2 linked regions of the Drosophila melanogaster genome follow. The protein of the gene in region 2 purifies or fractionates together with the protein of the main gene of each other region. This does not show direct contact. Each region holds a gene or a part of one and is shown on either strand. Other genes may lie near its edges. The genes, in order: Rab1 and temp.

The links.
Region 1: the proteins of temp (region 2) and Rab1 purify together in Drosophila melanogaster (affinity purification with western blotting, with the first as the bait; one study listed by BioGRID). This does not show direct contact.

The regions. Positions count from the first base shown.
Region 1 is NT_033777.3:21,265,266-21,270,821, forward strand, and holds Rab1 (Rab1), read right to left. Parts: upstream 3,796-5,556; 5' UTR 3,529-3,795; coding exon 3,506-3,528; intron 2,530-3,505; exon of another isoform or gene 2,476-2,529; coding exon 2,355-2,475; exon of another isoform or gene 2,293-2,354; coding exon 2,245-2,292; exon of another isoform or gene 2,189-2,244; coding exon 1,961-2,188; exon of another isoform or gene 1,881-1,960; coding exon 1,683-1,880; 3' UTR 764-1,682; downstream 1-763. Other genes in the region: AP-2sigma (adaptor protein complex 2, sigma subunit), read right to left, coding at 4,144-4,419, 4,480-4,629, 4,686-4,688; Idi (Isopentenyl-diphosphate delta isomerase), read left to right, coding at 4,951-5,265, 5,322-5,556.
Region 2 is NC_004354.4:2,259,606-2,264,377, reverse strand, and holds temp (tempura), read left to right. Parts: upstream 1-1,862; 5' UTR 1,863-2,341; coding exon 2,342-2,427; intron 2,428-2,523; coding exon 2,524-2,912; intron 2,913-2,962; coding exon 2,963-3,684; 3' UTR 3,685-4,171; downstream 4,172-4,772. Other genes in the region: CG3071 (uncharacterized protein), read right to left, coding at 1-1,321, 1,390-1,482.

The sequences.
Region 1 (5,556 bases), on a different chromosome or scaffold from region 2:
GATTTAATGGGAGATAGGAGGAGACCAATTGGGATATGCAAAAATAACGCAACTATTATTATCTTTGTATGTACGATTAATTTTAATCTCTAAAGAGTCAAAGTACTTCAATAATTTTACAAATCTGTCGGAGGGAATGTAAGCTTGCCCAAATCAAATGGAAGCTACAATCGTTGTCAGATGGAGATATTTTATGTTAGAAGGAATATCTCGGATACGAAATATTTAATTTAAAATTCCTTTTCATATTATTCTTTTTAAAAAATAATAAGTCCTGTATGTATACAATGCAATACATAAAGGTAGAGTATGTCCTAAAAAGAAAAATATCTTTCCGAATATATGTATATAATTTATAAAATAAGTGGATACATACATTTTTCGTAAGTATCCTAGAAGATTTGCCAACGTATCAGGTTTACAAAAATTGATTACCTATGTGCAGTTAACTTAACGGCAGTGCACTAACTAATCTGATTTGTGAAATAATGCAGATATAAAACATTTTTAAATAGAAATATATTTATACATCTGATTCTTCAACATCTAAGCACTCGTATAGAGTGCTTTGAATATATTCTAAATACATTGGCATGATCCAAGTTTTAAATCAGCCAAAAACTTGCTCCAAAAACAGGAAGATTCTACACAAATCGCCTCGCCCTTAAAGTTTCTGCCAAGTATTTGGGTGCGTGCGGATCAGTTCCGGCCTTCACTTAAGTTTTGCAATCTTTCCAAAGTCAAGAAATAAAACAAGTCGTTTGTAGGCATCGGTACAGATCGATTTTATTAGACTCAGGTCAAATTAAGATTCAAATTCGGGCGACAGTAAAAACCGAAACTAAAGTGTGTCCTTGATCCCAAACCTTGCAATTTAAATACGCACACGCAATAATTTTTATTAAACTTCATCGCTATGTCGTCATTATTACACTAATTATGTGCCTAAACAAATCCCTTGTGTCACACGATAATTCAAACACACAATCGCTCGACGTTAAATCTAAAAATGTTCGTTCGGTTTTGGGTTCGATTTACATAAAATTTCAAGTGACGATCACGTTCGCTAGAGATAATATGTTTAGAAAATTGTATTTGTAATTTAAACACATACATATGTATACATAGTGGTAAGTAGTAGCTGACACAGGACAAGTACAATTGCTCCTGCCGTCGCCTGCGCTCAATTAATGTGTAGTTAATAGTACATATTAGTTTCGGTATGGTTTCGCGCTGCTGTGATAGGTAACTTCTTATTGTAGGTTAAAGTAATATTAGGTTAATTGCTACACCGAATTTGCTTGCTTTGCACTACTTATGAACAGAACTGCGGAAATCAGAGTGACGGTTAGTATTAGGATCGATGTCCTTGTTGCTCGAGTTTAGTTGGGGATGTCTGAAGTCTGGATCGGGATCTGGATCTGGAGCTGGTTGGCTACGTACCTAATACATATTTGCTTAAATTGTTTATCGAATTGGATCACGGTTAGGATCATACAAACGCACTACTCGTCATTCCTCACCATTATTGTTATTACAGAATTAGTTATTATAATTACGATTTCGTGGATCCGCCATCGGTTTCGCTTGTTTTATTATTATTGTGTGGTTTCCGTTTTAATTTATTATATTTAAATTTTGTTTAATTGTATAATAAAATAATGATTCACAATCAGAGTTATTCAGCAGCAACCGGATTTGGTGTTTTCCACTGGACGTCCTTGATCGATTTTCACTTTGCTAGCGTTGTCAGTGGCGCTGGACGGCGGCCCGACGCGATTCTTGATCTCCGCCGCCATCGTCATGAAGGCCTGCTCAACGTTGGTGGCGCTCTTGGCCGAAGTTTCAAGGAATGGAATGCCTAACTGGGCGGCGTACTCCTGGAATTTTGGAAACAAAGACCCAGATTAGTATATACGTGCATCTATGATTCCCAGGACTAAACCAGCAATATACGCACCGCAGCTGTGGTGTGGTCGACTACTTTCTTGGTGGTCAAGTCGCTCTTGTTGCCAACCAGCAACTTGTTGACATTCTCACAGGCATACCGCTCGATCTCCTCCAGCCACTGCTTCACATTGTTGAAAGACTCCTGGTCCGTGCAATCGTATACGACAATGATGCCATGGGCGCCCCTATAATATGAAGACGTGATGGTGCGGAAGCGCTCCTGGCCAGCAGTATCCCACTGTAAACAGACTAATTAGCTCTGGACTAGATTGCCTCTGGCGTTTTTATGCTTACGATTTGCAGTTTAATGGTCTTTCCGTCGAGTTCTATAGTCCTGATTTTCTGCAAGATAAAGGTTTATGAGTCAGACATAAAGAATTTTCACAAATTTCCGGTTGGCTTACGAAATCCACTCCGATTGTGCTGATATAACTTTCTGTATATGTGTCATCGGCAAATCGCAACAGAAGACAGGACTTTCCAACGCCCGAGTCTCCAATAAGCAGCAACTTAAAGAGATAATCGCTGTGGATTTGGAGATAGTTAATATAGTTAATGTTATAAAATAGTTATATAGTTAATAAATTATAGTTAATTTAATAGTTAATGATATAAATTTGTGCTGCGATGTGGGAATAGTTCAGACCCTATGCTGAAACATATAAAACTTCAGAGAAATCTAAATAAAACTGATGATGCATATTTGCGATAGTGATATTACAAGACGAAATGTTTAAAATCAGAGTGTAAAAGGTTTAGTATACATTTAAAGGGAAATAAGTTGGATGACAATCAGTTAGAAATCATTGATTCAAGCAAAACATTTAGAGAGGTGTTTTGCGGGCATAGTTTAGTCGGGCAGATACTAATATATACATAAAACCGGTTTGGTTTAGGCTTTATCTTATCATGCTATGTCCAACATCAACCCCCAATTGCTGAATGATATGCGATAGTGTTCCAATCCTCTGCACACATGTATGCTGGCTATTGAAGGAGGCTTTCTGGAGAGTGCGAACCAAGATCGGTTCAGATTTAATTGCCTTGAGTGAGAGCGGCAATTAAGTAGCACTGGAATGGCCTTTGATTACGTAGCACTGCGCTGGGGGTGGGAAAGGCTCTCCACGCAGGTGACTCATCCGCCCGACTAGCGATTTGGCCCGTCAACTGGGATCTCGCTGTATATATGTGTGGACTTTATACATATGCAGATTCCGATGAGAGTTTCGAACGCGCTTTTCATCGCCTCGCCCGTGGGCACTACATTGAAATCCAGCTGAAACACACAGTTTTGGTTATGGTTTCTCGATTGGGTCGGTTGTTAGGTCCGAGTGTGTATTTTGTTTTTAGCAAATGGTCTGTTTTTTTGGAGTTGCCAACGAGGGCAAAAGGGAGTGGAGTGGGGCTGCTCGATAATGAATGGGAATGAAACGTAGCAGAAATGACGTCGCAGAAAAAATAAAAGAAACTATTTTCGAAGGCCAGAAAAGGAAGTGGAAGCCCAGTCACTGTTTTAACTCCAGATAACTGCGCATAATTACGTGTGACGACTTACTATTCCGGATTCACAGATGACATTTTCTGGCTTTTTCACAAGATTATATATTTGCCACGAACAAATATTCGATTTCTGGCCCTGGACTGGCTGCTGTTCAGAGTGTTTTTATTTGATTTGCGCGTTCCGAAATACTGGAAATCGACACGCACTCGGCTTGTGTTGTGTTTTGCAGTTCGCTATTGTAATTATTGCAGCGAATTTAAATGGGAAATACGTTTATTTCCACAAATTCGACGGCCGAGAACGAGAACAATGGCGACTGAAAAAATGACGAAGTGGCATTAGCGGCAGTGTTGGAAAATGCGCGGGGCCCTCTTCCAACCAGGGCTACACATTATCTTGTCTACGGAGGTGAGTGGGCGGAACCAGAGAAGAAAATATATGGATTATCGCCAAATGACCCCTAACACACCCCATATAAAAACAAAAATACTTAACTTTTGCATACAATCTCTTATGGTACATCATTTGTTTCTAAACACGGCCTTTAACATTTGAGTGTTTGCATAGAGAACACATTAAAGATAATAATAATAATACGCGTAATAGTATATGAAAGAAGATTCGATAGGCGGGTGTAGCGCCTGGGGGAATGCATCTGGCAGATCCGATATACATATGTATGAATTGGGCCGCTACTCCAGCGAATTTAGCGTGAGCAGCTGCTTGAGCACCTTCGTCTGCGAGGTCTCCCGGATCTCGCCCGCCAGGAACATCTCGTCCACCACACTGTACACCTTGTAGAAGTTGAAGACCAGATCCAGCTCGCACACATTATGGAAGTATTCGTTGAGCACCTCCACGAAGTTGTGAATGGCCTCCAGATAGCACAGGTTGTTGTCGTTTACGTCCACGCAGATGCAGAAGTACAGACCCGCATAGCGTCGGTAGACGATCTTGAAGTTGCGGAACTACAAAGGCAAAAGTGTGATAAAAGGGTGATTCAAAAGAACATATGGACTCGATCCCACCTCCACAAAGTTGGTGTGCTTGGCATCGCGCACTGTGACCACGGCATGCACCTCCTCAATCAGTTTCTGCTTCTCGTCGTCATCGAAGTTCATATACCACTTGGCCAGGCGAGTTTTTCCAGCTCGGTTTTGTATAAGTATGAATCGTATCTGGGCGAATGGAAGGTCAAATAGGGGTCTAAGCTTATAGCTGGCTAGTTGCTTACCATTTTTCGGGAAATTGGTTAAACCGTTTCCTGCTTATTTACAACTTTTTTTGTTTCGAGAATGGGGGCGAAAAACTGATTATGAGCAAATTGTGTATCACTGGGACCAGGGCTACCACTACTGTTCCGGAACAGCTGTTACCTCGTCAGTGTTGCAAACAGTTCGCGCAGAAAGCAAACGAGTTGGCAGACCCGCGCGCTGTATTACGAAGTTTCACTTTCATATTTGTTTTGGCCACCACTCCAAACTAGTCATTTACCAAAAATGTTGGCCTCTCGCTTGAATCTCCTGTTGCCCCGCGTATCCTGGCTGCGCGGTTGCTCAACGACAGCGGTGGGCCAGAAACATCAGCGCCAGGTGCCCACGGAGTTCGCCGTACACGATCCTCTGCAGGCTCACGCTCTAAAGGAACAGTGCATCCTGGTTGACGCCAACGACCAAGCCATTGGGGCCGCCTCTAAGGCAGACTGCCACCGTGTGCATCCAGAGACGAATGATGTTAAGCTCCATCGCGCCTTCAGTGTTTTTCTCTTCAATTCTCAGGGAGAGATGCTAGTGCAGAAGCGATCGTCTCACAAGGTGAAATTAAAGGGTAATCCCCTTATTACAAGGTCCATAATCCTCTGTATCCTTAGATAACCTTCCCAAACACCTACACCAACGCGTGCTGCAGCCATCCGCTTTACGAAATCGAACAGGAACGTCAGGAGCGCAACGCACAGGGCATCCGTGTGGCCGCTCAACGACGTCTCAACTACGAACTGGGCATTCCCACAGAGGAACTGCAGCCACAGGACTTTCGCTACCTGACCCGCATCCACTACGCAGACACGGGCGACGGCGTGTGGGGCGAGCACGAGATAGACTACA
Region 2 (4,772 bases):
GTTGCAAGGCTTTCATCAGCTTCTGGCTGTAGGCCACCAATCGTTGCTCGAAGACATCAAGGACCGTGCTCGCGGCCATCATCAGCGGGCGCATGAATCGCACCTCGCCCAAGTGGTTGCAAATGAAGTCGATGAATCGGACAAGCGCTGCCTCATGACGACCCGTGAGGGCTTTTCCCAGTGATCCACGGTGCAGAAGGTCCGTGATGACAGCCACAATGAGCTCCGGCTGGTATTGCATCTTCTGCGCATTCATCACGTCGTCCAAAGCCTTCTTGTGGTTAAACTGGCGCAAGTGCACATCGTAGGATTTCAATCCAGGCCCCTTGACGTGGTCCTTGATGGTGTGATCAACCTCTTGGGTGTTGTTCGTGCGTTTCGTACTCACGAAGTACTTTCGAGCGCGATCCGCACGAATCTTTTTCAAATGACTGGGCTTGCTGTCTACCATCATGCGACGAATGGAGACTAGACCATCGACCATTCCAGCCACAACTGCTTGATCTCCGTCAGCAACAGCCATGCTGACCACCGCATTGGGATAAGTCAATGTGTGCACTGTTTTGTAGGTGCTCACATCGTAGATTTTCACGTGCCTATCGAGCCCGCCTGAGAGCAATCTCCTGCCATCGGATCCCAGTCGCAGACAAGTTACTGTTTTGTGATGCTGCGACATCATGGTGAGCAGACGGCAGCCGCTGATGAGATCCCATACGCGCACCTGGCTGCCGCCGGCGCTGACGAAAATAGAGCCGTTCGGAAGGAACAACATGGACTCCACCGGAGCTCCGTGATCTAAGGTGCGCTGCACCGCCGTTTCCGCTCTCGTATCGTACAGTTTGATCTTGCCATCGTAGCCGCCGGAGACGAACATATGCCCTGCCTGCGGATGCATGGCGCCTGCACGAACGTAGTCGGTGTGCGTGTCCTCGTACGTTTGCACCACCTTCTCGTTTGCCACGTCCCACAGACGGACCGACTTGTCGTCTCCAAAACTGGCTAGCTGCAGCTTGTCCGCCGTAAAGAAGGTGCGGTGTACTGGTGCCGTGTGTCCCTTGAACAAACGCAAGATGTTGCGACTGGTGGTGTCGAATAGCTTGACATGGCCCTCCTCGTCGCCGGCGGCCAGGAGTCGACCATCCTGCCGGAAGGTGGCGCCGTATGCGGTCTTTTGGAATCGGGAAAGGTTCTTTACCACAAGCATGGTCACCAGGTTGTAAATCTGAACGCGCACCGAACAGGTCACAACAAAGTTGTCAGGATCGCTTGGACTGAAGTCCAAATAATCGATGGTGTTGTGCTCCTTGAGTAGTTCTGGTTTCTGTGGAATGCAGAGGGGAAACAATGATTTGGTTGCCGAGCCTCTCTGCCTAGTCCTATACAACTCACCGCCAGTCGGTCCCAGTACACCGTATCCGGCGTTTCCACCTGGGCCCGCTGTCGAAAACGCCGTGTGTTCAGTGGAAGAAAGGAGTTCTGCATCCTGTCTGTGTATTTCTACTAAATCTCTTTCGGGCGCGCACGTGTTAGATGGGAAGAGTGTGACCAGCGGAATGTAACAGTGGTGGCAAACATTTTGGTTTTTAGCCAAATCCGCGTGCACACAAATACGGAGGTGCTCATTGAATTCAATAAATTTTCTTAAATATCTTAATCATTCTGCTATCAACTGTTTATTAAACGCATATACTTAAGAAATAATTCCGTTAATACTGAAAAAATATATGAATGTAGCAAATGTACTGATAATACTGACTGTAGAAAAAAGGAAAAAAAAATTGAAAAATTCTAATGTCCCAGCTAATGCCTGCTTTCAATAGCCATTTTCCCGACAGTTGGTTCTGACGTCGCGGTTAGTAGGTTATCGTGGCAAGTGCCTCCTCTGTTGTTGTGCACACCAAACACATGTTTGCAAACAAACATATGCTCACCGTCGCCAAAAAAAGGGAACACATTTCCGAGCTTGCGGACCGATCCGCCGGAGAACCGCGCTTTGGGGTGAACCAGATTGACAGCCCCTCGCACTGGGCACTGAAATAATAATAATAATAAAGGCTAGATCTCGTGTCCAGGCCCCGGCTTAATTGAAATTTATTTGTTGTGATGCGGCCGCCTTTGGGGGTTCCATAGTCGCGTAGACAGGGTTCCAGCCTCCGCCATCTTCTCCTCTTCCTCCCCTTTCCAAATCTTAATTAACCGGAGACATTGAGCATGTTCATATTAATTGGAGGCAATCAATGTGCCTGAGACCCTCGAATCGAACGGAACGGAAGCGAGATCCCCGAGGAAGCAAAAACCACATCCCCATTGAAATTCCACGTTCGGACTATACTCAAATTCCATGGAGGAGGAACGCAACGAGAAAAAGGTGCTCTGCGAGAAGATCATCAGGGACATCAATGCGGTGTTCCTCAAGGATCAGGATCTGTGAGTCCAGCATTTAGTTCTACTATAGATCTAATCAGACTGTTAGCAATGAAAGCAAGCCTTGATGTCCGAATATATTGTTCTTTTCTCCACCAGCGCCTCCTTTGAAATTATACCCAAAGAAGCCAACTGCAACAAATCGCCGGTTGTGCATGTGGAGCACAATCTGGGCCTGGAATCGTGGTGTGCCCAGCATGTCTACGACCACGCCCACCGCACCCTCATCTCCCATCGCCGTCAAACCACGGCGCAACAGCTGCGGACGCTGCAGCAGCAGCAGCAGAGCGACTCCCTGGCCAAATACCTAAACGTGGCTCTGCTGATTAATCCCGATGTGACCACCTTTTGGCACATCCGCCGTCAGCTGGTGCAAAAGAATCGGCTGAGCATCAACAAGGAGCTGCAGTTCTCCGCACTCGTGCTCTCAATCAAACCGAAGTCCAATGAAGCATTCGCCTACCGCCGTTGGCTGTACTCATTTCAAAGTAAGTGGACGTCGGCAACTGGGGATCCCATTTCATTCCATTATTTCCAGGTGCCGATGCTATTGACTGGCCCAATGAGATCGGGATATGCGAAAGGGCCGCCGATAGATGCGCCAGCAACTATCACGCCTGGTCGCACCGCCAGTGGATCCTTCAGAACGGCCCATGCCTGCTGCAATCGGAACTGCTACGCACGGAGAAGTTTATGCGGAAGCACATCAGTGACTACAGCTGCTACCACTACCGCCAAGTGCTCCTGAGTCGTGCATATGAGCTCAGTTTTGCCCTTCCCAAGGATTCCGGAGCCAGTGGTTCGTCTACGTTGGCCAGTCTGCAGCATCTAATGACAAGCTATGGCCTGGAATGTGAAGCCAACGCTGAGGATCTGCTGGGTCTCTTGCTACCACATGTGGATCTGAGTTCCGTGAGCAAGCAAAGGCTAATATCATTTCTTTACTGCTGCAACGTTGCCGCCAACGATATGCGTCTGTGTGCCGAGCAGCGCTTGATGTACGGATCGCGGGATTGCTTCGAGCTGCATCGCCGTGCGGCACTCAAGTTCATCGTGGAGCAGTGCGTGCGCCTGCAAATGGGCTTGCCCAATGGCCAACTGTTACCAGTGGCGTCAGGCGATCTGCGTTCGCATTTGGGCAACTTTGACTTTGAAGATAATCCGTTTTTAAGTGCCGTACGGCGCGAGGAGTCCACCCTGGGTGGTAAGCACCGGCGGTGGTGCAATCTTCACCTCAGCTTTGGATATCCAGCGGACTAGACAGCGCGACCTGATAAAGCTCAAATCAATCTACCCCAATAGAATTACTCACTCCCGGCCTTTCCGTTTGCCCATCCGTTCTGAAATGTGGCAAGTGTATAAAGACGTGTGTTTTATTTCCTATCTAATTATCGTCCCAAAAATACAGAAACTTGTGCAAGACAAATTGTTAAAGAGTAAAATACTAGAAAGGAAGACGATTCAAAACGGATTTGGAAACGGAAATGCCTCTATTCTACTCTACTATAAATGTGCGATCCAAAGACAAAGTTCAACTAGCCCGATATGACAACGGATCTCACTGGTCCGCCAATTGCATTTCGATATCTATTAGCGTTACCTGTTCGTTTCTGTTCTTAATCTGATCCGGGCACGATTTGTTAGCCCTTTGTTCAGAAGTAAAACTTAACCGATTATCGCCATGCCATGCACGTGTTTGTTGTTAGCCAATTGCAGTTAGTTTTTAAATAAATCCAAATCATAGACGACGCCTTTTTTATGCAGTTTTGAACGTCGAGCCAGTTCGGCTCGTTCATTTCGAGAATATCGATTCGGTAATGGCCGTAATGAGCACTCAAAATGCATTGTATGGGGGTTTCTTTTGCGCAGAGCAGTTGTAATATGGGATGGTATCGTTTTGTGGCGGTGCAGCCACAGCCATGACATCCCATCCCTTCCCCGAGTGAACTGGGGATTGTGGGGTAACGAGTATCGATTGCGCATGCCTGGGATGCGAGGTGGGATGTGCGAGATGCTGCCGAAGGCCTGAGATGACAACAATTTCAGCAGCGGACTCAGAATCGCCAGGCCGTAATCCCTACCAGCTTTTCAGTGTGTTTCTGGAGCAGTTCGCGTGCGGCGGTGTTTTGTGGAGTGTTGAGTGGCGAAAGTGCTGGCTTCTTTGAAGGCTTACAAACAATTTGTTTCCGACTCGTCGAAAAAAAGTGCATTCCAGTCAACCGAGAAATCAAAAGTAATAAACAAAGTATATTATTCGATTTTTTTTTTTAGTTTGCTGAACGGGGTTCCGTTTGTGGATACATGTGTACAGGCCAAGAGGATTTCAAGGGAGCATTGCATCGAGAGTG